7 linked regions of the Callithrix jacchus genome follow. The protein of the gene in region 1 interacts with the protein of each later gene in a pairwise test. Links are inferred from orthologs where the notes say so. Each region holds a gene or a part of one and is shown in the gene's direction. Other genes may lie near its edges. The genes, in order: MBIP, NDEL1, EPB41L3, MCM7, PPFIA1, RAP1GDS1 and BFSP2.

Region 1 (4,162 bases):
GGAAAAAAACAAACAAGCCCATTCAAAAATGGGCAAAGGATATGAACAGACACTTTACAAAAGAAGACATATATGAAGCCAACAATCATATGAAAAAATGCTCATGGTCACTGGTCATCAGAGAGATGCAAATCAAAACCACATTGAGATACCATCTCACGCCAGTTAGAATGGCGATCATTAAAACATTTGGAGACAACAGATGCTGGAGAGGATGTGGAGAAACAGGAACACTTTTACACCTTTGGTGGGAGTGTAAATTAGTTCAACCATTGTGGAAGACAGTGTGGTGATTCCTCAAGGCTTTAGAAATAAAAATTCCAATTGACCCAGCAATCCCATTACTGGGTATATATCCAAAGGACTATAAATCGTTCTACTATAAGGACACATGCACACGAATGTTCATTGCAGCACTGTTTACAATAGCAAAGACCTGGAATCAACCCAAATGCCCATTGATAATAGACTGGATTGGAAAAATGTGGCACATATACACTATGGAATATTATGCAGCAATCAGAAATGATGAGTTTGTGTCGTTTGTAGGGACATGGATGAATCTGGAGAACATCATTCTCAGCAAACTGACACAAGAACAGAAAATGAAATACCGCATATTCTCACTCATAGACGGGTGATGAAAAATGAGAACACATGGACACAGGGAGGGGAGTACTAAACACTGGGGTCTATTGGGGGGAAAAGTGTAGGCCCAGCACGGGGGTGGGGGTGGAAGCTGGGGAGGGATAGCCTGGAGAGAAATGCCAAATGTGGGTGAAGGGGAGAAAGGAAGCAACACACACTGCCATGTGTGTACCTATGCAACTGTCTTTCACGTTCTGCACATGTACCCCAAAACCTAAAATGCAATAAAATATTAAAAAAAAAAAAAAGAAAAGATTGCAAAACCCCACAAGTATCTTTATAATAAAGTTATATAATACTTTGTAAAGTTTCAATTCGGTTTTATGTCCTTCTAATTTCAAAGATTGTGGTTGCATATTATTTATCCAGGTTAAATTCCTGTTGGAATGATACTGACAGTGTTTCACATAGTCCCCTACTACCAACATTCACAAGGAACATCCAGGAGTCAAGGTAAGCTTCATGATGCTAACCCTTAAGAGACCACGACTCTAATGACCACCCCAAAGACAGCATTCTAGCCTAGCTTTGGTCTGCAATTCACTTCAGAGCTTCGGGGCAATGCCACAGCTGCAACTGATTGGTGTACGTGCTTGTCAGTCACATACAGAGGGTGGAGCCTCAAAGCCCGGATATAAACGAGACGCCGTGTCGTACGTCATCACCGAGCGACTAAAGCGGAAAAGGGAGGGGGCGGGGCTGTGAGCAATCCTTGGCGGCCTGAGAAGGTGTCATGGCTGCTGCCACGGAGCTTACTCGCCCGAGTAGCGGTGACAGGAATGTGGAGCGAAGATGCAGCCCCAGCCTCTCCCGAGAGGTGCTCTGCGAAATCTTTCGCTCCCTGCACACCCTGGTTGGACAGGTGAGAAGTGGCCTCAGGGATTGAGGGTATGGAAACCATCCGGCCTCTCCCCCTCATTCTTTTCCTCTAGCGGAGGCCAGAGGCAGCGAGGCCTGCCAAGGTCTGAGGTGCGGCCCCTGAAGCCGAGGTCGGGGAGGAGCCCGGGCCGAGCCGTCTCAGTCGGAGTGAGGAGGATGGCGGTACCGGTTGCCAAGTGGTTTACCTTGCAGCTGTCCTCCCCAGCAGTGGGTGAGGATGGTTTAAGTGAAAACCCGGCCCCGAGAGGAGCAGACTTGGAGAGAATGAATGTGGAAAAGCTTAACTGCGGATTTATGAGGCGCCTCGCGCTCAGGCTCCTTTTTCTTCCAACTTACTCAATTACGGGAATTGGTTGGTCAGTAGGCCTGAGATTTATAGAAAAGCGCGCTTATTAGCTTTTTTCAGGGGCTAGAGGGAGTAATTTGTTCTTATGAGTCACTTGGTTTTGTTTATTTCTTCTTTCCTTCGGGCTGTTTTGTGCATCTATTACCCTTTTAAATGGAGAGGAAAGTAAAAGGAATTCATTTAAAATACTTCTAGCGTAAAGTTGGATGAGTTATCCCTCTTTGATGTTGTTTGCAATAGAACGGGCGTTATTTAACTATTATTAAACGGGCGTAGTTTAACTGGCTGATAAATCGCTTTTGCAGAAATGTGGTAAAATTGGTTTTAAATTTAAATGGACTTCTTATTCTCTGTGATCAAGTCACTGTTTCGTTTCATGGTGTAAAATTCAAAGCAGATTTTAAATGTGAAACAGTTTAAAATTATGCTTCTTCACCTGCTTATTAAAAGGAAATATTTTCTATCTTACATAGACCATTTTCTAGCCGTAAAAGTTTGTTTTGGAGCTGGTACTAGTGCCTGTGGACACAGCAGGCATTTGTGTCAAAGACAATGGTAAATTCCTATAAAAATAGAACATTTGTCTGATTTGTGAAAATTATTTTTTTAAAGCCTTGAGTAGATGGAGAATCAGTCTTTTAAAAAGTTACTAAAGTAGTTTTAAAAATCGTAGTATGTTGTGTCTTACAAAGAACATTACTGTAAGTTTAGCGGTTTTATGTAATGACGCAGTTGTTAATGAAATCTGCTAAAAGATACAACTTTTAAACTCAATTGTTTGCCAAGTACTTACCAAAAACATTTTTTTAAACACTTGGGGTCTTTTGTTATTAACATTGTAGTCTTAAGAACCAAAACCTCTAAATGGTTTAAAAGTTAGAGAACTTTTTATGGCGACGTCGGAACTTGTTTATTTTCTAATGTCAAGATAAAAAAAGTTTATGCTCACCTATTAACAGAAGATGGAATATTTAAAAAAAATATTGAGCAATGATTTAAACTTTTCTTTTGAAATATTTTGCATACTGAATTTTTCAAACTCATTAGAAAATTTTAATGATTCAAGTACGGTAAAGTACAATTAAAGAAATGATTACAGTTTACTTATGTCACTTGTCAAAAATGTTGACAGTAAATATTTGGTGACTTTACTGTGACACAGTGAAGGGACCTCCTACACAAGTGTCAAAAATATGATTGTTTCATCAATTAAATGTAAACCACTTTCAAAATACTCTGTATTTTGAGAAATGTTTTTTAAGAGTGAAAGCCAGAGTTCAATACTTATAAAATTGCCCCCCCGAGAAATCAGTATTTTCTTTTGCGACCAGTTTAAAGGATTTTTAAAATGTATGTTGTAACATACCTAACTTATCCTGTGTCATCCCTAAGTATCATTGTATTATTAGATCTCCTCAGTAGGAAACACAAAACTGAATGTTAAAAATAATTTTTTACTTCAGATCACAAAATTTACTAATTTTAACCTTTTTGCTTGCCTCTGGATGGCCCATCTTACCAAGCTGAACAATTACTTATTTTTAGCTTGGATTTTTGTATTAATTTAGTAAAGTTAATGAAACTACATATTTAAATAGTCTATATTAATAGCAGACTAATAGAGATTTTCAAGTGAATGGTTTACTCTTCCAAGTTCTGTAGGGCAAAATGCATAGGATTCATGTGACTAATAATGAATGTCTTGAATGAATAGTTAGATGAATTAGGATAGTTTTATAATTAATTTGTGACATTATGTGGTTTTCTTAAAAGACCAATTATTCTTAATTGCACTTGAAGGTTTATATAATTCTGCTGAATTGAAATGAGAATATGAACCAAACATTAAGACTTATTTTTCTATACGTTATTTTCTCTAGAAAAATGTGATACTTTGCTTTGGTTGAGGATTTGCCTGCTTTATCCCCAAGCTGTATTCATAAGTTTTCTATAATCGAGTATAGATCTCTTTGAAGACTACAAAAGTATATTAATGGGTTACTTCCATACATAATATGGGTTGTTGTGTAGCAAAATCTTTATAGGCATTAAAGTAATATAAATTAATGCATTAACTTTAAAGTCTTAATATGTTCTAATCTTTGCCAGTGCAGCCTACATGAAATTTCATATATCTTTACACTTGTTTAATATGGACTTTTAAATTCTTCTGTTCTTATCTTAAAAGGGCAGTAAATTTCTGTCACATAGTGTTTATTCAATATATTATCTTTTTATTGGTAACCTTACATCTTTTTGATCTTTGTACAGTGATTCATCTTTATAACT
Region 2 (3,500 bases), on another chromosome or scaffold:
ATTTCTTTAAGTTTGCTAAACCTTCCTGAGTGGCTTGTGCTCGATAAACTCCAAGTTCTCTGCATCTCCAGATTTTATTAATTTACTTTTAAAGCTGGTCTTAATTTCTTGCTGCCTAGTATGGATTAGGTTGAATCAATTATGCTTTAATTCAGTAAACATCATAGAGTATCCACTATTGTGCAGGCATTGGGCTGAGACGGAACTAAATAAGTCAACCTAACAGGTGACACAAAAGGTGTAAGCAAATGCATTGCTCTGTGGTAATTATATCAGTGAAAGTGTGTGTAGGGTATAGAGGTAGCAAAGAGTGCAAGAGATTTTAATACTGTCCAATTGAGGGCAAGAAAACCTCTCTAGAAAAGACGACAACTAGGTTTTAAGGATAAACAGAAGTTTTCCTAGTAAGGGGAGCAATTCCAGGTAGAGAAAACCTGGAATGGGTTTTCCAGACCTGAAATAGCATGGTGTGTTAAGATAGTTTTGAACAGTAGTGCTGGAATATAAAGTGGGATGCTTGGGAAGGGCGGTGCTAGGAAACTGTAGGCATGACTCTAGAGTGAGCCTGATGATCGGTTGGGAGTTTTAGGTAGCTAGTCCAAATAGAAGTTTGTTGAATTGCTTTTCCCCCTCTCTGAATGCCTTGGGAGAACAACCAAGATGAAAGAGAAATCACTGAAGTTGGAGATTAGTGGCCTTTTGGAAGGAAGCTTTGGACTTCAAAGATAATTAACAGGAAGTTTTTAGAAATTTGATCTTAGTAAATTATTGAGAATGTGGTGCCTGATTTTCTAGTAGGGTCACCTGGCATAAAATGTTCCATGCAGCTGTTTTAAAGGAATAGTACACTTGGGAAGGGCATGCATGTGGCAGCAGCATCTCTGACAATCAGCTTGTTTCTGTCTCCTGATTCCCAGAAGACCACTTGGCCTTAAACCAACTTCGGGAACTCTGTGTGCATCATGATTCTGTTAGCCAAGTCACCCAGCACCTATGCTGCAACTGAAAGTGCCTCATGTTGCTTTGTATGAAAGAACCTTTGTTAAGACCTCATTCACAATATTGATGGTCCCTGAGAGGAGCGGTGAAGTGGCTTACATGCCTGAGTTGCAAGAGAGTTGACCACTAGAATCTCTCATGTTTTACTCCCAAAATGCTGCAATTTATTCTTGTCCCAGATTTTATGCTTTTGCTTAGATTTCTCTGTTCTATAATTTCTTTGTCTTTAACGTTTCACAGGCTTTCTTGATCATGGATGGTGAAGATATACCAGATTTTTCAAGTTTAAAGGAGGAAACTGCCTATTGGAAGGAACTTTCCTTGAAGTATAAGCAAAGGTAATGTTGAAAAGCACACTAAAAGTAGGGGGAGGGCATTTGAAATGCACCATGTCTTGTTTGTATATTTTTCTTTTTAACATAAAGTTAAATTTAGAATTGCAGATATAGGATTCTATGATTGAGATTCTAGAAATTGTCACCACATTGCTTGTATTTAAATAGTATAAACATGCTGTAAGTCTTTATATTGTTCAAATTATTAAAATAGGAGGAAAACTGTCATTTATGATTTCTTCTGATCATTTCCTTTCTTTATGCTTTTTAGGCCGTCTTTGGCCTGCTTTGCGTGCACTGATTCTGCCTCATCATTTTGGTCATTTGGAGATTCTGATAAGCTGTCTAGGGCTCCGTAGAACAGATTACGTTCTCCTCAGGCAAGCATGATCAGTGTCTAGAGCCAGCAAAGCTTTGAGAGAGGGGGAGAAGCTTCAGGGGCATGGAATGTTTCATACAATTTCAATTATTTGGTTGGGAGAACTTTTAGATAAAAACCTTTTGCACCAAAACTTGTCTCAAATTAATTTTTAAAAAATGGGATCTTTCTAAATAAAATATTGACACATTTTCCTATTTTGGTTAACAGAGTTTACTAAGTCTTATCAAACATTTTACTCCTCTTTTATTATTATCACCGAAGTCAGTTACTCTGTTGTGCCGGTGGGATATGAAAGGTGTGTATCTATGGCAGGGTTCTTAATCTTTTTCTGTGTCATAGATGTTGTAATAGGCTGGGGTAGCCTATGGACTTCTCGGCATAATGTTTTTAAATGCATAGAATAATAGAATTACAAAGGAAATCAACTATATTGAAAAAAAGTTATCTAATTTATGGCATAGCAGTATGTACTTCTCTATTAATGCATTAAGTAAAAAAGATACAGAAGTGAATGTAATAACTACCTAATTTTGAAATAGTCATGACAATAAGTGATATTTAGAGATAGATGCAGCAATACTGTCGTGACATGAAAATATCTGTGATTTCTGTTGAATAAAGTAGAAGGAAATGCCAAATTTGTTACTTTAATAAAAGTAAAGATGCATTTTTTCCCCATCTGAGTTCTGTGGTGGAAGAAGTTAATGGTATTGAACCATGTTGACTTACTTTTCATAAATATTGTAATCACTGACTTGTGACTGCTTTTTGGGCTTGTAAGTAATTTTCATTGAACCCTGAATATATACAGTAAGAGATGGAAAACAGATTGTCTTTAGTATATTTCATGAGAGCATTAGCTTTCAAGCAAAAATTATTGAATTGCTATGTAATCATCTCCAGGACCATTCTTGTGGTTCTTACTATAACTCATCTTTCCCACTTTGTTTCTGATTAGCTTCCAGGAAGCTCGGGATGAGCTAGTTGAATTCCAGGAAGGAAGCAGAGAATTAGAAGCAGAGTTGGAGGCACAATTAGTACAGGCTGAACAAAGAAATAGAGACTTGCAGGCTGATAACCAAAGACTGAAATATGAAGTGGAGGCATTAAAGGTAATTGCAGCAGTAGAAGCTGGTGTCTAATGTGTTGGGTTTAATTAAAATGAGAAGTATATTTTTCAGGGGCTTAAGAGCAGCAGGTGACAAAAAGTGGTTTTTAAAAAAAGGCTTAAAGTGAATTTTTGAATAAAATGTTTTCTTTCACGGAACCAAGGGAAAAGGTGGTTTAGAGTTTAGGAGTTCACTTAAAAACTTTGTAGCTATCACTTTTCTAGCTATAATGTTCTAGCTGTATTATATTTTAGTTCCTATACTTTTCAAAAGCTGCCTGATTATTTATTTTGACAGAGTACCTCATTCTGAAGTATGTTTACAATTATATTTATAGGAAATACGGATTTATTTAATTATTGCTCATAGCTCTTTCAGTTTTGGAATTTAGTTTGGATTAAAGATTTTCCTTCTAAAAAAGGAGTTTTTAGGAGCAAAAGGATTAATCCTTTTCTCCGCCCTTCACCATCTACTGTAGCCACATGTTTGATGGTGTTTAGTGTTTGGGGAATAGGTGGGTTTGGGGAACGCTGGATGGGAAGGTAAAGGGTAGGGAATTTGAACTCTGCTTACCCATGGCTGCATTTAGCCTGAAAACCCAGAGGTTTCCCCAACAAGTTTGGGGATTTTGAGGCAAGGGTTTTTTTAATATACTTTTCAGAGAGATCGTTACTG
Region 3 (4,112 bases), on another chromosome or scaffold:
TTTGGCACCCAGTAAATGCATTATTTTTGTGAATCCATTTTTTACCTCTTTTAATGAGTCCCTAAGTTCCTGAGGGGTGACTGGATGATTTGAAGAAGGCTCCATTAAAAAAAATATTAATGTACAACGTAATAAGGATCTAAAGTACAACACGAGGACTATAGCTAAGAATAGTGTCTTATATTCACGATTTCGCTAAATGAATGTATTACAGCTACCCTTGCCACAAGTAGAGGGTTGTTGGGGGAAATGCGTAACTATGTGAGATGATAGATATGCTAATTTGTTCCATTATAATACCCATTTTACTATATATGTATCTTATATTGTATGCCTTAAATACACATAAAATTTATTTTAAAAATTAAAAAATAATGTTTTGTAATTTTTGAGGGTACATAGTATGTATATATATTTATGGGGCATATGAGATGTTTTGATACAGGCATGCAATGCACAATAATCACATGGAAGACAGGGAATCTATCCTTCAAGCATTTATTCTTTGTGTTATAAACAATCCAACTATACTTTGTTATTTTCAAATGTACAATTATATTATTTTGACTATAGTTACCCTGTTGTGCTATCAAATACTGTATCTTATTCATTCTAATTTTTGTGCCCATAAAAATATTTCTTAAATGTCTTGGTTACTTGGTTAGATCTTCAGATATTGTGAGACCACCAGGACCAGGAATTACTTCTTTCACTTACAAATCACTGAAATCCTCTCTATTTCAGTGGAAAGCTTTACAAACACTGGGGAGGACCAAGTAGCCGACCTGCGGAAAGATGGGGACTTCCCTTATCAACCATTAATTCAGATCTTCTCTGTTAACATTACTTCAAGACACCACCAACTTGATTTTTTTTTTCTTTCCAAAAAGAAAAAAAAAATACTGCAGTCCCTAGCCAATAAATAACTCACCTGAAGGTCAGGAACAACCCCCCTCCCTCCTTTCTCACAGGGGGTGTTTGGGAGGGGACGGGGGCTGGAAAGGCCGGGCCATCATCTAAGTGGGAATCAAGGGCTAAAGCTATAGGCATTGGCAGCTGTCTCCCGGCGTCGTCCACGGAGCCTGACCCCGCGCCAGGAAGGAGGAGGCTGTGCCCATATAACTGTCCTGAAGTACTGCGGTGCCCCCCTCCCCCGCGGCTGGGAGGGCAGGCAGGACGAGGTTGGCTTTCCTCGCACGGTCTCTGGGCGTGGGCCCCCGCCGCAGCTCCGCGGAGCCTCGGTGTCTCCTGCAACAGGGGGCGGGGGGAGCCGCGGCGAGCAGCCCTGGGCTGCGGCTTCCTCCCCACGCCCGAGTCTCCTGCGCACCGCCGCCGAGGACGCGCGCCCGAGCCTGGTCCCCACGCCGCGGCGCGCCCGGGCTCCCCGCCGATTTCAGGTAACTTTTCCGTCTCCCGGAGTGGGGGACTGCGAGGGGGTCTCGGCTTTACGAGGTACGGAGGAAGAGCCCGAGGCCTGGAGCGAGGCGCGCGGGGTTGTGTGGCTGTCGCGTGGCTCCGGCGCCGCGCGGTCTCCCGAATCCCGAGCCCCGCGCCCGGTTTGGCCGGGGTCCCTACCCGCCCTCCCGCTCGCCGGGACCCCAGCCGGGCCGAGCCTATGCGCCGCGCCCAGCGCCCGCTCCGTCCGCCGCGCTGCAGCAGCGGCTGGGCCGGCGAGCGGAGCGTGAGCCCCGGCCTCCGGCCTGGGGGCCTCCCTGGGATCCTTGGCCGAGGGCGCGACTCCGTCCCCTTGTCCCTTCTCCGTCAATTTGCGCAAATCCCCCGCCCGGGGCGCCATGTTTTAAGTTGCCCCTTGGGCTGGGGGCCAGCGCGGGCCAGCCCCTCCCGCGGAGAGGTGAGGGGTGGGGGGGCGACACTGAGGCGCCGCCCGGGCGGGTGGAGGCTGGCGGGCCATGGGAGGGGCCTTGCGCCCAGCGCGCGGCGGCTGCGGGCTAGTCCCGGGTGCAAGCGCGGGCGGGTGCGGCTCGGGGCCGGTAAGGTGCGCTTGGCACAAAGCATCCCCGCTGGGCAGCGGGGCCGGCCGCTTTTATGTAACTTGCCTCTTTCCCCAATCTGGGGCAGCTGCCCCCTCCCGCGACGGGGCACGGCCGGGTCTGTGGGGGAAGAGGAGGGAATGTCCGAGCGGGGTTGCTTGGGGCTTGGGCACCTGCAGGGCCCCCTCGCCGCTGGCACCCGGGCGCGTGACCGCAGGCTGGCCGGGGGCGCACGGGTCGGCCTGCGGTGGCCGGGGGACTCGGGGCAGCGCGACTCACCTGGTGCCTACGGGGCTGCGATTCGTCAGGGGAGGTGTCTGCGAAGGCGGCTCTGCGGCGGTGGGGGTGGGGAGGCTGGGACTTCGGACCGCTGGAGTTGGGGGTTTCAGTCAGTTCCTGGCGAGTGTTTCCTGGCTGCTGCCGCAGGGGCTTGGTTATTCGGGTTTCCCCTGTAGTCTTGCCCGACTTCTTCCCCTTCCCAGTCACACACCCGCCAAGTTCAGGGCTTCTGCAATGCGGTGGGTGTGGTTACCTAGTAAATTGTAACTATGGTCCCTTGCAATGAGAGTATTCTTCAATTTTCTTTTTATATTACGGATCTGAAGTTTCCTAGGGTTTTCCTTTAGTTGCAGTCCAGGGTTAAAGTTGGTAGAGATTGTTGCAGAACAGACCAAATAGAATGATAAAGGAAACATGTGGTATTAATTACTTGTGGAGGTTGGGCTGGGAGGTCCTGAGAGGGCCAGGCATGGCCCTCTAATGCAGTGCTTCTATTGCGTGTTTAAGTTGTTTCAGCTTCTTTACATTAGTCCTGCGAAATTGCTTTTGCAGATATCCTGCCTGTCCTTTTTTTGGAGGATGGTGGGGAGTGGGAATTTTAGGCTCTCTGAGGCGGTCAGGTATGCTGGAGTTTCTCTTGGTAGCATTAACTTCTGTAGTACAGAAAGCATCACACCAAGTGCTAAAAGCATTATTTTTGAAATTTACCCTGATTTTTAATGTCACAAGGAAACAAAAATGATGAAATTCTACTTACATCTGTGAGCCATGGATGTAGTCTCAATTAGAGCAAATTAAGCAGAAAAGCCCTATTAAGAAAAGAGAACAGCACATTAAGCTCCAGTGAACTCTGGGGACTGAGAGGTGATTTCTGTCTTGGCTCAGAGAGGGTGTTTAAAAAATGCATGTTAATTTTGGTATCAAACTTAAAAACCTTTAGAGTAACAAAATTAATGTGAGAGGGAATAAATTCTAAATTGGAGAAGTGTGACTTCAGTTTGTTAATTCGTGAAGCCTTGCTAGCTGGCTGAATGCTTAATACTGTCTAATTTGCATTTTGATTTTCTGGTAGTTTAGAAAAGCAAAATATCAGATGCGTAACTTACGGCATAAAGTTTATTTAGTGAATACACTTTAGTCAAAATAAGTTTTTCAAAACAGAACATTTTTTTGTGAATAATTCATCCATAACAAGAAGAGTAGCCACTTGAATTTTTAAACCTCTTTTAGGTGAAGGATTCAGTTGCTATAGGTCAAATGTCAGTGTCTCAGTGAAATATTTACATTTATTTTTTAGCACATTTCTGCATAAATACGACTTAGGTTAAAAGCAATTTTTTTAATCAATTCATGTGCAGTGCTTGGACTTTGGCTAACTTTGTGTTGAAATACAAGATCAGGATTTTTTTTTAACTTGATTGGATGCAATTTTATTTATAATTGTTTTTTTAAAAACTATTTGGTCAAATGCATTAGGGGGGCACCTAAGTAGAAGAGAGGCAACTATCCATGTACAGAGAGATGTGATGCTATTATCATCTTGTGACTCTTTTCTGGACTTGTTATAGTATATTGGATTAAGTGTGGCAGGAACTTGCTATGAAAGTGTTTTCTTCCATGTTGTATGATGTGCATTCATTTTTTAAGTTAGTGCTTTCCCTAAAATTCACAAATTAGAATTCATATCCTGTCCAGTAAAATAGAACTCCAAGAGTAGACTGAAAAATAAATGTTTCCTTTCTGTGAGAATTTGACTATATAAAGATAGAGAGTTCTTTTTTTTGGTGGTTGTTTTTTGAGGTGGAGTGCCGCTCTGTCACCCAGGCTGAAGTGCAATGGTGT
Region 4 (2,711 bases), on another chromosome or scaffold:
AGAAAGGCAGTCTCAGCTTCCGTCCTGTGGGCTTATCTGTGGCTGGGCAGGCAGGGAGTCTTGGCGTGGGATGCCTAGGGAGGGAAGGTTGGGTCCTTGTTTATTTCTCCTGAGCCTTATGTGCTCTTCCCTCCCCTAGAGTGACCAAGTACCCGTGGGAAATATCCCTCGTAGTATCACAGTGCTGGTAGAAGGAGAGAACACAAGGATCGCCCAGCCTGGAGACCATGTCAGTGTCACTGGTATCTTCCTGCCAGTCTTGCGCACTGGGTTCCGACAGGTGGTACAGGTAAGGAAGGGAGTTTGATATGAGGAACAGATCATCCCATTTCCCCTCACCCACTGTACCCATACAGAGAAAAGTGAGTAGCAAAGCACCAAACAAAACAACACAGTGCTTTATCAAGAAATTGTTAGGGAATCTGGTGATGGGTAAGTTCTAAGGATTGCATCTGTATCCTGACATTTTCCTGCCTAAGGGTTTACTCTCAGAAACCTACCTGGAAGCCCATCGGATTGTGAAGATGAACAAGAGTGAGGATGATGAGTCTGGGGCTGGAGAGCTCAGCAGGGAGGAGCTGAGGCAGATTGCAGGTGATGCTCAGGAGAGAGAGGAAATTCCGTTTACATCCTACCCCCCCATTTTCCCCCACAAAATACCTTAACCTTAAAATTCTCCACAGAGGAGGATTTTTACGAAAAGCTGGCAGCTTCAATTGCCCCAGAGATATATGGGCATGAAGATGTGAAGAAGGCACTGCTGCTCCTGCTAGTGGGGGGTGTGGACCAGTCTCCTCGAGGCATGAAAATCAGGGGTAAGAAGAAAAAAGGGCAAGGCTCAGGGTAGATGAAGTCATTTGGGAGGAAAAAAGGATGACAAGTGTCCCCATAGGTCACAGTATAAGAGTGGGCGTCTTCGATTCATGGACACAGGGAGGGCTTAGAAGTAATGCTAGGTGTTGGGGGAGGCAGAATTCAAAATTGCTCTGCTGTTGGCCAACTTGCACTGGGAGAAGAGTCATTCCTGGGCTGCCTGTCTTCCTCTAGGCAACATCAACATCTGTCTGATGGGGGATCCTGGTGTGGCCAAGTCTCAGCTTCTGTCATATATCGATCGCCTGGCCCCCCGCAGTAAGTAGTTGGACTTTGAGAGGGGTGAACATAGTGACAGACAGGACCACAGGGTTTATTCAAAAAGTGGGGGTGCATAGTGGCTTACACCTGTAATCTCAGTGCTCTCAGGCTGAGACAGGAGAATCATTTGGGGCCAAGAGTTTGAGACCAGCCTGGGCACCATAGTGAGACCCCGTCTCTACTAAAAAGGGCTTTTTTTTATTATTATTATTTTTGTTTGTTTGTTTTTGTTTTGAGACAGTCTCACTTTGTCGCCCAGGCTGGAGTACAGTGGCGTGGTCTCAGCTCACTGCAACCTCCACCTGCTGAATTCAAGTGATTCTCCTGCCTCAGCGCCCCACAGAACCTTGGGCATCCCGGGGAAGGCCTGGGGCAGGTGGAACAATCCCAGCGCAGCCCCCCCTCTCTGGCTCATTTCTTGTCTTTTGCTTGCTCTCTCTCTCGTTCCTTTCTATCTCCTAACATGGCTCCTTATTTCTTCTCTTCCAGGCCAGTACACAACAGGCCGGGGCTCCTCAGGAGTGGGACTTACAGCAGCTGTGCTGAGAGACTCCGTGAGTGGAGAACTGACTTTAGAGGGTGGAGCCCTGGTGCTGGCTGACCAGGGCGTGTGCTGCATTGATGAGTTTGACAAGATGGCTGAGGCCGACCGAACAGCCATCCACGAGGTCATGGAACAGCAGACCATTTCTATCGCCAAGGCTGGCATCCTCACCACACTCAATGCCCGCTGCTCTATCCTGGCTGCTGCCAACCCTGCCTATGGTCGATACAACCCTCGCCGCAGCCTGGAGCAGAACATACAGCTGCCTGCTGCACTGCTTTCCCGGTTTGACCTCCTCTGGCTGATTCAGGACCGGCCTGACCGTGACAATGACCTACGGTGAATGAAGCTCAACACCCAAAGAGAGGTCCCCTGTAATGATCTGTGGCAGGGGCCGGGGGTGAATCAAAATAAATACCCAGCTCCTGGAAATCCCAGAACCTCCTCCTTGTGTCAGGGACTGGTCCAAGGTTCTCAGGAAAATGGTGGGTTGGGGCTGAAATGCTAATGAGGATTTCCCAGGAAAGCTTGTTCCTGCTATACCATGAGATGGGTGGAGCCAAGGGAGGGATACCTAAGAGGACATGGGTATGTAGCCCTATAAAGGGTGTTCCTCCTCACCTCCCCTCTATCCAGGTTGGCCCAGCACATCACCTATGTGCACCAGCACAGCCGGCAGCCCCCCTCCCAGTTTGAACCTCTGGACATGAAGCTCATGAGGTAGGAGAGCTGGGTGCAGATGGGCACACATTGTCAGCATGGGCCATGCAAGCCTCCTCAAAAGGCTTTAGTCTTAGGGTATTTTCACACCACCACTTCCTGCTTCTGACACGTCCAGAGCCTGAAAATAGTCAGGGTCCCCCTGGAGCCTGGTCAAATGAGAATAACTTTTAAGTGGAAAACTCCACACTTCATGTGAAAGGGACACAGGAAACTTTTGCTTCCTATACACAAATTTTTTTGGTTTTTGAAACAGAGTTGCTCTGCCGCCAGGCTGGAGTGCAGTGGCGTCGTCTTGGCTCACCGCAACCTC
Region 5 (4,011 bases), on another chromosome or scaffold:
TAGGGGCAAAAAGCACAAATTCATGTTTACATGTAGTCAGTCAATAAATATTTATCGAATGAATGAATAAATTAATGGCAGGTGTACCAGACCCTGGTAGGTGAGAAAGTTAGTCGGAGGTAGTGCTTGTTCTCCGTGCGTTCACAAGGTGGAATCAGGGAATTCACCTTGGACGGGCTCACGTTTCCCTCTCCTAGCCCCTATGCAGCCTGTTCTCAGACTTGATTCGTTCTGAGGGGCTCTTGGCTGCCTCACACCAACAGCAGTGGTCAGTGGAGACCGGCGATGGTCTCCTGACATGTTGGTTTGTGAAGACCAGCGCTCGAGTCAAATTCTGGGAAGATCGGGAGAGCATCCGCTTTAATTTACTAAATTTATTAGCGGCGTCTCTATTCATCTCCGTGTCTGCAACATCCAGCACAGGACCTGGCCCATGGTAGGTGTTTAAAAATGCTTGCGGAAAAGATCAAATGACCAAGCCTCGTGCAGTGCTGCCCGTCAGCTTCTCAACCAGTCGCTCTTTACATCTGATTGACATCTTAAAGCAGCCTGGCAGGTAGGTCTCCATCATTTTCCCATCCCACATCGGAGGCGCTGAAGCCCAGGCGTGTTTCCCGAGTCGCCCGGACCCACCGGGCCCTCGCTGCAGTGTGAAACCACAGCGGCAAAGTCTGCCCGCTGGACGCTGCGCCGGGGCGTCCCCAGGTGCGGCAGGCAGCGCTCAGTAAGTGGGTCCTGGAGGGAAGCGCGTCCTTCTGAACCCAGATCAGGCCCGGGGAGACTCTGGGAGCGACGCGGAGGGCGCAGTCGGGGCCCCAGGCGGTGGCTGAAGCCTTGGCTCGCTCTGCCGCAAGATGGGAATCCAGAGCCTCCAGCTCGGGAGGGACCTGACGTGCCGGACTGGTCCGGCTCAGAACCCGAGGCGCGGCGGACTGACGCTCGGCAGAGGCCTCCGCTGTACCTGCAGCTGTGGGAGGAGACTGGGGACCCCGCGAGCACCTGAGCTCCCACCTGTGGCTCATCCCGGGGACGCCGCCCCCAACCTGGGCGTGGAATGGAAGGGCGGGGCTCCGTCACGTTCAGCCAATCAGCGCCCTGAAGCCGCCGGCCGCCCCCTCCTGAGGAGACGGCACTTGCGCACTCGGGCCGCAGAGCTCCTCGGGCCCCGCCCCCGGGGCAGTGCTGACGCTCGCGCCGACGCGCCCGACGTCGGGCACGTTGACGCCGGCGCCGCGCAGCCGGGCCCGCTCCTCCTCCGCTCCGCCAGTGTCCGGCCGCGGGCCGGCCTTAGTGACTGGGGCGGCGGGCCCCGGGGCCGCGGCGTGGGGCGGGCAGGCTGACGCCGGCCGCGGGCTGCCTTCGTCTGTTCTCAAGCTCGCCTGGAGCGAGCAGCCGCCCGCGAGCCGCCGCAGAGCCTCCTCGTCCGCTCCCGCCGGCGAGCAAGGTAAGGGAGCGGGACACTGAGGCAGACCCGGGGCCCAGGCGTTCCCGGCGGGTCCCGATCCCCGCGGCGGCCGCGCAGCCGATTGGATGTCTTGGCGGGGAAGGGTGCGCTCCGGGGCGGGCGGGGGCGAGGCGGTAGGGGAGCTCCGGCGGGACCCCCGCGCCCCGAGGGACGGCTCCGGGGGCTGCGTGACGCCCCTGCCCGAGCCCCGCGCCCCGTGACCCTGGCGCTGGGGCGAGGGGCGGGGACCTGCGGCCGCTGAAAGCCCCGGCCCGGGCGGGCTCTGCTGTCAACGGTCCTCACCCCCGGGGTCCTGGGCTCCCGCCGCATCTGCTACAGGAGGGGAAGGAGTGCGGGCGCGAGCAGGCTGGAGGTAACCATCCGCATCAGGTGCGCGGTCTTGGGCATCCTCCTCTCGGGGGTCCACCGCACCCCGAATACTTGCCTTAAGGCTCAGAAGCGACTTCCCGTTCCCCTCCCGCCGTCTTTAGATTCCAGACACTTAATAGTCTCTCATAATCTCACCTTTCACTTTTCCTTCTTTCCTAGCCGCCCCGGGCTGTATCGACCTGCTATATTTCCATTGTGGAATTTTTTTTTTTTTTTTTTTTCCGGTTGTAAACTTACGTAAGTTAGGTTGACTGACCAACCGTTGCAGCCGTTGAAAAACACTTCTACCAGCGTGTAACGAATTCAGTTCTTTTTAGTGCTCACCGAATCCAGCCCAAGAATTCAGGGAGCCGGCCGTTCTTCCCGGGAGCTGACCGCACACATTCCTGCAAGATGCCTGATGGATTTTGTACTTGTCAGTTTTGTTGGCTGTGTGCTCCTTCTGTGCTTTTCCTGAAAAATGATTGGGTGACATGTGTTTTGACTTTCTCTCCCCCCACTGGGAAGTAGAAAAAACAGGTAACAGAAGCACACTTGTTTTCCACGAAAACGTACAGCTTTGCTAAAAGACCACCCCAGGGTTTGCCTTTTTTGTTGTTGCTGTTAGGGCAGTCCTCTGGGATCCTGACTCCCTCCCTGGGTTTTTGTCCGTGTTGATGTCTTCATGTCGTGTATTTCTGCACTTAATATTTGCCCCGTGTGTGTATGTTCTCAGCTTCTTTACATACAAAGCATACCAGTTCTGAGAATAATGCGGCTGCCCATCTTTTTAGCTACAGATACTGTGGGAACCTGTATTCGCACTTAGTGACCGTAGCTTGGGGCCTTGATTTCCAGATGATGTGCGAGGTGATGCCGACCATCAGCGAAGCAGAAGGTCCCCCTGGAGGAAGCGGAAGCCATGGGTCTGGCTCCCCTTCACAGCCGGACACAGATTCACATTTCGAACAGTTGATGGTCTCCATGCTAGAAGAAAGGGACCGTCTTCTTGACACACTGAGAGAGACTCAAGAAACGCTGGCATTAACCCAGGGGAAGTTACACGAGGTTGGTCATGAAAGAGATTCCTTGCAGAGACAGCTCAACACGGCACTTCCGCAGGTATGAGTGCTTTTAACCTGGAACTCTATAGATGCTTTGTTAATGTTTCAGATGAGCATTTTCCGTAACCATTTGTGAAATGATGGTTTCTGGTGTTTGTAAGTCAAATACAAAGTTCCTAGGGATTAAACCTCTTAGGGAGAACAAACTGTTGTACTCTAAAGTCCTGTGAAAAGACCTCATTATTTTCATTCCTGTCTTTGGGAACTGCCTGGGTTCAGGAAGTTCGTTCTCCAGAGTTGTTGAAAAACGGCTCTGAAGCCGCAATCTATACGGTGCCTCTGTTCTGTTGTCTTAGCCTTTTCTTCCTAGACTTGTTCTTCCCACGGATTGTGTCTCTCATGTATTTCCAATTTCCTAATGAAATTTCATGGACAAATAGGATTGATTTCACAGAAAAAAATATTTTGATAGCCCACCTTTTTCAGAACACCTAGGTTTTTGTAAGTCACATTTGTTTTAGGGGATAGAAGACTGGAAATTGATTCCCTTAGAAACTTTTTCCTTGGCAGATGAGAATTTTAAAGCTTAGGCCGAATGTGGTGGCTCATGTCTGTAATCCCAGCACTCTGGGAGACCGAAGCAGGTGGATCACCTGAAATCAGGAGTTCGAGACCAGCCTGGCCAGCATGGCAAAACCAAAAACACAAAAATTAGTGGAGCATGATGGCACACACCTGTAGTCCCAGCTATTCTCGAGCTGAGGCATGAGAATTACTTGAACCCGGGAGGAGGAGGTTGCAGTGAGCCAAGATTGCACCACTGCTTTCCAACCTGGGTGACAGAGCTAGACACTGTTTCACTGTCTCAAAAAAAAAAAAAAAAAAAAAAGGTTTTTAAAGCTTAGAACAACTGAAATTGTTTCTCTGAGTATATAACATTTGGACCAGTGTTTGAAAGACTTTGCTCATGGAGTTGAATGAGGATGAATTAGTGGTAGGTAAACGGAGGAGGGGTAAAAACTAGAAAAGTGTGAGGTGAGTGGCGCGGAGCACAGTAGGAGAGAAGTGGGTTACTTAGGTGGTTCAGAGCCCTCTAGGTGCCATGTCACTTACCACAGGTGCCTTCGCGGTGCC
Region 6 (2,384 bases), on another chromosome or scaffold:
CTAACAGAATCATATCTGTTATTTTTTTGTCTTCCAGAATCTCTACATAAGGAAGTACAGGATTTGGCCTTTCTAGATGTTGTATCCAAACTTCGCAGTCATGAGAACAAAAGTGTTGCCCAGCAGGCCTCTCTCACAGAGCAGAGACTTACTGTGGAAAGCTGAGAACTGCCCGACACACGGCATCATCCCTCCGTCCTCCATCCAGCTGCCTCTTCCACTTCATTCTCTACCATACCACTTGTGCATGCATGTAATGTTCTAATACCAGTTGAAGAACTGCTGTAGGTATTTGCCTAATAAGATTTCTAAACCCATAGTTAGTGTGAACATGACTTTGTCAAAGGCAAGTCTCCACCCATAACTGTTCTCTTGTATTCCTGTTGCTTGAGCTACATTAAGTAGAATGTGCATGTTGTAGTCCTATGATGACGTAAACTTGGTACTACATAATGACTTGCTCCACACATGCAGTAAACTACATAATGATGTACTGGTAAACTAGAAACATTGCAGCAGGATCTGTCTAGCTTATTTAAGAGGAAACTGAGTAGGAAAAATAGCTCAATTTTTTGGTGCTTGGGAAGCACAGTGAACAAAAAAAGCTGTATGGCTACTTATTCATTAGTCTTTCCTACTAATGTCAAATTGATGGTACCTAGAGTTAAATAAAATTCCAGTGCTCTTACTCTTTAACCTATGGTTTCTCCTTTTTCCTTTGTAGACTATTGAAACTGCCACCACAGACTTGGCAAGGCTTTCTGAGGTTTCTGATTTCATATTTAATTGACTATCATCAATAGCCCAATATTGAAAGACATTTGTAGTTTTCGGTGTGAAACTAAGGGGTTGAAGAATCGCTATTACAATCCCTATTATAAAGCATTTGCATTTTGCCTGTATTTTAGTTTCTGATACATATGCTGTTTCACCCAGGAACTACTTCTACCAGTTAATCAACATTGTCCAGCACTTGTCTGTAAACTCATTTGGCATTTGTTTTCAACTGAGTAAATTGACTATATAGTTCATTTAAGAATGGATTTTTTTTTTTTTTTTTTTTTTGCTGATTTTCATTATTCAGCTAGACAGTGAGAAGTTTTATCTTCCATAGTCCTTTTAAATCTTATGTTAAAACTTGCAGGACATAGAAGGAAGGATGAGGAAATAAGTTTCTCTGGACTAAAGAAAGGAGGGCAGGTTATAAAAGCCATGGTAGCCAGTCCAGTTCATTCTGCAGATAGCCTCATACCAATTGCTGTTAGAGTTTCCCTCTTCCACTTTCCCACTGAGAACCACAGCAATTTTAAAGGTTATGAGAAAGCCAAGATTCAAGAGATGAGAAGACCCCCCATGGTGAAATATAGTATACTTTTCACTGCCACTACCACCACCAAATGTGTTTTTAGAGCTTTGAGACACAATCTTTGTAAATTAATCAAAACTTCCCTGTGACCCACCTGCCTTTCTCCTCATACCCAAATTTGACTGCTACTGCCCTAAGAGGCAAGATGGACTTTAATATAGAAGGACTGCAGGACAGTAGAAAGGGCTGCCACGGAGGTGACAGGAGCTCCTTCCTCTTTAACAGGAGATGCTACACTTCTCTGTGGGTAATCCAAGTTGGACTTTTGGATCTAAAACACCTATAATTCAAGTAAGTTAAAATCCTGATGGAGAAATATAAAAATAAAAAATAAAAATTCTAATGGAGGTAAAGAATCTTGACCAATGTTCTGCTACACTTACTACTATAAGAATGATATTATTTGTTGTCTTTCTCCTGGGCTGGATAGTGGACTATATTTTAATATAGGCTTTGAAAGACTAATGTTGCATAACTGTTCATATATTAACTTAATAAATAAATAGTATATCAAGCTATAATGGCATCATTTGGTTTGTTTGTATATTTTGTCTATATTTCCTACTCGTAGAATAGGGATTCCTATTGATGCTCAACAAATATTTATTGACTGAATGAATGAATCCTATATCCATGAAGTTTCCAGCCTGCCTGAACTAATTCCAGAAAGATAGACTGACTGATAGAGAGTTTGAGATTTGATAGTTTGTCTGACTTTAGGGAAAAAATTTTAACAAAAGCATCCTAAAATCATAGATGTGAGAGAAGTTACCCATCTGGGCCAGCTGCCAGCCATCAATTTGCTAATATGTTAGGAACTCCCATCTCCAGCAAAATAAAGTGCAGTTCAAATTACTAATCATTCTACAGAGAGACCTGTCCCCTTATCACAGGGGCCACCAAATTAGATGGTACACTGATGTGCCATTGCAGTGAATGGAAGAGTCTATAGACTGTACTATCCCCTATCTCCTGCCACCTAATCGTAGTTGTAGAGGGCACTGTTAAATTAGTTTGC
Region 7 (3,500 bases), on another chromosome or scaffold:
GATGCAGGAGAATCATTTGAACCAGGAGGCAGAGGTTGCAGTGAGCTGAGATCATGCCACTGCACTCCAGCCTGGATTACAGAGCAAGATCTCCATCTCAGAAAAAAAAAATAAAATAAAGTAACAGATGTTTCCATGTGACAGCTGTGTTTCCTCTGGGTAGAGGCAGTGAGTGGTGATTAGAAAGGCTGGAAAGGAAGGACAGGCTCAGCTTCTGATCATCTCTGCTCATACTGAGACCTGACTCTCCACAGCAACAGGCGGAGGTGACCCACATGTCCCAGACCCAGGAGGAGAAGCTGGCAGCTGCCCTCAGGGTGGAGTTACACAACACTTCGTGCCAAGTCCAGAGCCTCCAGGCTGAGACAGAATCCTTACGTGCCCTGGTAAGTGGGCCAAGGAAAGACCTGGCATCCCTATGCTAATTTTAACTCTCTACTGTCAAATTCCAGTATTATGGATCATAGTTTGCAGGGGATTCCCATCTCACAGGATATGAGTTTTGAGGCCTGAAATGTCTTCTGACTCCCAAGGATCATCAGATACTGAATAACAGCAGGTGCAATAGGCACTGTAGTGCCCCATGGACATCTCTCTTACCAGGCTGCTGCTGTGAATGTTGGCTGCTGACACCTGCAGCTGCCCCTTTTCAGCTGCCCCATTGCTCCTGAGACTTACCCTTACCCACACTGAGGACACCTGGCCCAGAAGATTATGCCCTGCCCCCAGGCCTCAGCCAGTGACTGAGAGGGGGCTTTAAAAGCCCAGCCTTCTTCCTCCAAAGTGAAGCTAGCTCCATGCTCTAGAGCTCTCCATGGGACCAGGCTGTGGCCAGATTCCAGGGACCGCATTCCTGCTTAGTCTCTGCCCTATCCTGCTTTCCTCACTCCCCCTTTTCCTGAGATTACTCCTTAATGATTTACAAGTTCCAGGATCCCCATCTCAGGCTCTGCTTCTGGAGAACCCAACCTGAAACATCTAGTAAGCTCTCAGACTCACTGTGATTTGCAAGCATGTCTCTTTCATTACCAATTATCATTGATTAAAATAATCAATAAAATGTATTAATAATGAAGCAGTCCACCCTCTGATCTCTGGGATGGATGGAAGTTCTATTTGGTTGTTAAACACAGCTCTTCTTAGATAACCCCTCCAGGAGGCCATTTGCACTGTTCTAACTACAGCTTTGTTGGTGAAGATCAAAGGGTTGTCCATGTAATCCTTGTGCAGCTGAAATGGTCTGAAGTCAATGAAGTGCATGATAGGATGTAGGTCAGTACAAGCATGTATAAGAAAAGGATCAGGGCCGGGCGCGGTGGCTCACGCCTATAATCCCAGCACTTTGGGAGGCTGAGGCGGGTGGATCACAAAGTCAAGAGATTGAGACCATCCTGGTCAACAAGGTGAAACCCCGTCTCTACTAAAAATACAAAAATTAGCTGGGAATGGTGGTGCGTGCCTGTAATCCCAGCTACTCAGGAGGCTGAGGCAGGAGAATTGCCTGAACCCAGGAGGCGGAGGTTGCAGTGAGCTGAGATCATGCCATTGCACTCCAGTCTGGGTAACGACAGCGAAACTCCGTCTCAAAAAAAAAAAAGAAAGAAAGAAAAAGAAAAACATCAGAGGATCTGAGGGAAGGAAAATGAAGAGTAATAGAGTCAGAAGGTCTCAGTTCCTCCATTTATCCCTTGGGTAAATAAGCAAATCCCTGAACCACAGTTTCCTCTTCTGCAAAATGGGTATGACAGCCACAGTCCAGCCCACTTCTCAATGTTTCTAGGAGGATCCAATGTGAGGATGCACATGACACACTCTTCTTACTGTTAGCATTACTTTGAGAACTTGCTATGTTCCTGGAACTGTACCAAGTGCTTTGGGTACATAAAACTAATTAGATATGGTCCCAGCCTCCAAGGAGTTAATGCAGCTTCAGTGGAGGAGCTGATATAAACATGAGGAGGTGGCAGGTGGGAGAGATCACCCCTGCTGTGGGAGTCAGGATATAGACTTCATGGTGGATGCTCTACTCACTCACTAGCTCTGTGAATGAGCAGAGCTTTCATTTTCCCACTTATAAAGTGAGGATCTATTTTGGCTATTATATCTAGTTACTGTCTTAGTGGCTTAAGACAACAGAGAATCATTTGTTCTCTCATTCTGTGATTTAGGCAGAGTTCAGCAGGGATAACTCTTCTCTGTCTCATGTGGTCTCTGCTAGGGCAGGAACACCCAAAAATGGCTTCTTCACTTAACATGTCTGGTTACTCAGTTATGCATCTCTTTTTCTCTCTCCCTGTGACCGCTTCGTGTAGCTAGCTTGGACCTCCTCATATCATGACAGCCTGACATACTCAAACTCCTGATATGGCACCTGAGTGAGCACAGAAGCTACCAGGCATCTTCACACTGGGGCTTGAAAGTCTCTGAACATCCCTTATACCACATTCTAGTGGTCAAAGTAGTCACAAGACTATCCTAGATTCAACAGGGAGAGAAATTAACTTCTTGATGGGATAATGGCAAGGTCACATTGAGGAAGCGATTGTGGAGTGAAGATAATTGCAGCTGCCAGTGGAAGTGTGATCCACCTTAGGGTCATAATAGAATTTACCTCATAACGTCAACGAAATGATTAATCAGATAATGTATGTCAAGCCCTTAGCACAGTGCCTGGTGCTTAGTGAGCAGTCAATAGATGCCATCTTTTATTAACTATCATAAAATTGCTGTAATAACTACTAGTATACTAACTCCAAGTTGGCACCACCAGCCACCTGGTCACCTCACTTAAACCCACTGTCCTAACTACTGAGGAAAAAAATGGAAAAAGAATTTACACCCTCAACCAGAAAACTTCAGAGTAGTGGCATTCTGGTTATGCCCATGGCCCAGAACAGGCTGCCTCAGTTCCCTGCTGGTTCTGGTACATTATCATTCTGGTCACAAGGCCTTGCAGCCAAGGTGAGGAGCACAGATTGAGACAAAATAGGTACCAAACTCTCATACAGTTTTTAAATACAGAAAGTTCATCCAGCCATTCTCATTATTCTCCATCAATGCAACCTGTGCACTCACAAGGACCCCGCAGTTTATATAAGCTTCAGACAACCGAGCTGGCAAAACTTTTGATCCCCTTTGCCAATAAGGCACTATTTGCATTGGAAGGTAGGCACAAATAATGGTGCTTGAGGCCTGCTGAACTTAAATCAGGAATGGAATTCAAGGTAAGAAGTTACATAAAGTCACTCTCTTACTTTCTGGAGGGCTTTGCAATTCAAGAAAGTCCCTTCAGATCTCCAGAGAAATTGGCAGAATAAGTGTGCTTCTGTGATTTCAGTTTGTTTGCTGGTACTGTCTGTGTGGCTGAGTGAGCTAGCTACTGCCTGCAACAGTCACCTGATCACAGTCACTCAAGCTCAAGCATCTCCGGGAGAACCAGGCATTACCTCTTTCTGCCAGAATGTCAGGGACTTAGGTGGAGAAGCTGGATTTGAACTTTA

Evidence for each region.
Region 2: the proteins of MBIP (region 1) and NDEL1 interact in binary tests that used the Homo sapiens proteins (3 or more experiments, as listed by UniProt). The two-hybrid records come from large-scale screens. The link is inferred for Callithrix jacchus from reciprocal best matches to the Homo sapiens genes MBIP and NDEL1.
Region 3: the proteins of MBIP (region 1) and EPB41L3 interact in a two-hybrid assay, tested with the Homo sapiens proteins (2 studies listed by BioGRID). The two-hybrid records come from large-scale screens. The link is inferred for Callithrix jacchus from reciprocal best matches to the Homo sapiens genes MBIP and EPB41L3.
Region 4: the proteins of MBIP (region 1) and MCM7 interact in binary tests that used the Homo sapiens proteins (3 or more experiments, as listed by UniProt). The two-hybrid records come from large-scale screens. The link is inferred for Callithrix jacchus from reciprocal best matches to the Homo sapiens genes MBIP and MCM7.
Region 5: the proteins of MBIP (region 1) and PPFIA1 interact in binary tests that used the Homo sapiens proteins (3 or more experiments, as listed by UniProt). The two-hybrid records come from large-scale screens. The link is inferred for Callithrix jacchus from reciprocal best matches to the Homo sapiens genes MBIP and PPFIA1.
Region 6: the proteins of MBIP (region 1) and RAP1GDS1 interact in binary tests that used the Homo sapiens proteins (3 or more experiments, as listed by UniProt). The two-hybrid records come from large-scale screens. The link is inferred for Callithrix jacchus from reciprocal best matches to the Homo sapiens genes MBIP and RAP1GDS1.
Region 7: the proteins of MBIP (region 1) and BFSP2 interact in binary tests that used the Homo sapiens proteins (3 or more experiments, as listed by UniProt). The two-hybrid records come from large-scale screens. The link is inferred for Callithrix jacchus from reciprocal best matches to the Homo sapiens genes MBIP and BFSP2.

Annotation. Positions count from the first base shown.
Region 1 is NC_133509.1:70,910,381-70,914,542, reverse strand, and holds the start of MBIP (MAP3K12-binding inhibitory protein 1), read left to right. Parts: upstream 1-1,362; 5' UTR 1,363-1,381; coding exon 1,382-1,510; intron 1,511-4,162. UniProt on the Homo sapiens protein: Inhibits the MAP3K12 activity to induce the activation of the JNK/SAPK pathway. Component of the ATAC complex, a complex with histone acetyltransferase activity on histones H3 and H4.
Region 2 is NC_133506.1:74,965,951-74,969,450, forward strand, and holds part of NDEL1 (nuclear distribution protein nudE-like 1), read left to right. Parts: intron 1-1,239; 5' UTR 1,240-1,251; coding exon 1,252-1,337; intron 1,338-2,674; coding exon 2,675-2,828; intron 2,829-3,500. UniProt on the Homo sapiens protein: Required for organization of the cellular microtubule array and microtubule anchoring at the centrosome. May regulate microtubule organization at least in part by targeting the microtubule severing protein KATNA1 to the centrosome.
Region 3 is NC_133514.1:57,672,833-57,676,944, forward strand, and holds the start of EPB41L3 (band 4.1-like protein 3), read left to right. Parts: upstream 1-1,312; 5' UTR 1,313-1,397; intron 1,398-2,783; exon of another isoform or gene 2,784-2,923; intron 2,924-3,027; exon of another isoform or gene 3,028-3,079; intron 3,080-4,112. UniProt on the Homo sapiens protein: Tumor suppressor that inhibits cell proliferation and promotes apoptosis. Modulates the activity of protein arginine N-methyltransferases, including PRMT3 and PRMT5.
Region 4 is NC_133503.1:13,487,264-13,489,974, forward strand, and holds part of MCM7 (DNA replication licensing factor MCM7), read left to right. Parts: intron 1-139; coding exon 140-289; intron 290-479; coding exon 480-594; intron 595-683; coding exon 684-815; intron 816-1,047; coding exon 1,048-1,131; intron 1,132-1,623; coding exon 1,624-2,017; intron 2,018-2,314; coding exon 2,315-2,398; intron 2,399-2,711. UniProt on the Homo sapiens protein: Acts as a component of the MCM2-7 complex (MCM complex) which is the replicative helicase essential for 'once per cell cycle' DNA replication initiation and elongation in eukaryotic cells.
Region 5 is NC_133511.1:127,208,175-127,212,185, forward strand, and holds the start of PPFIA1 (liprin-alpha-1), read left to right. Parts: upstream 1-1,211; 5' UTR 1,212-1,444; intron 1,445-1,669; exon of another isoform or gene 1,670-1,834; intron 1,835-2,139; exon of another isoform or gene 2,140-2,353; intron 2,354-2,671; coding exon 2,672-2,935; intron 2,936-4,011. UniProt on the Homo sapiens protein: May regulate the disassembly of focal adhesions. May localize receptor-like tyrosine phosphatases type 2A at specific sites on the plasma membrane, possibly regulating their interaction with the extracellular environment and their association with substrates.
Region 6 is NC_133504.1:99,071,395-99,073,778, reverse strand, and holds the end of RAP1GDS1 (rap1 GTPase-GDP dissociation stimulator 1), read left to right. Parts: intron 1-37; coding exon 38-165; 3' UTR 166-1,884; downstream 1,885-2,384. UniProt on the Homo sapiens protein: Acts as a GEF (guanine nucleotide exchange factor) for the Rho family of small GTP-binding proteins (G proteins) that stimulates the dissociation of GDP to enable subsequent binding of GTP.
Region 7 is NC_133518.1:50,672,677-50,676,176, reverse strand, and holds part of BFSP2 (phakinin), read left to right. Parts: intron 1-254; coding exon 255-386; intron 387-3,500.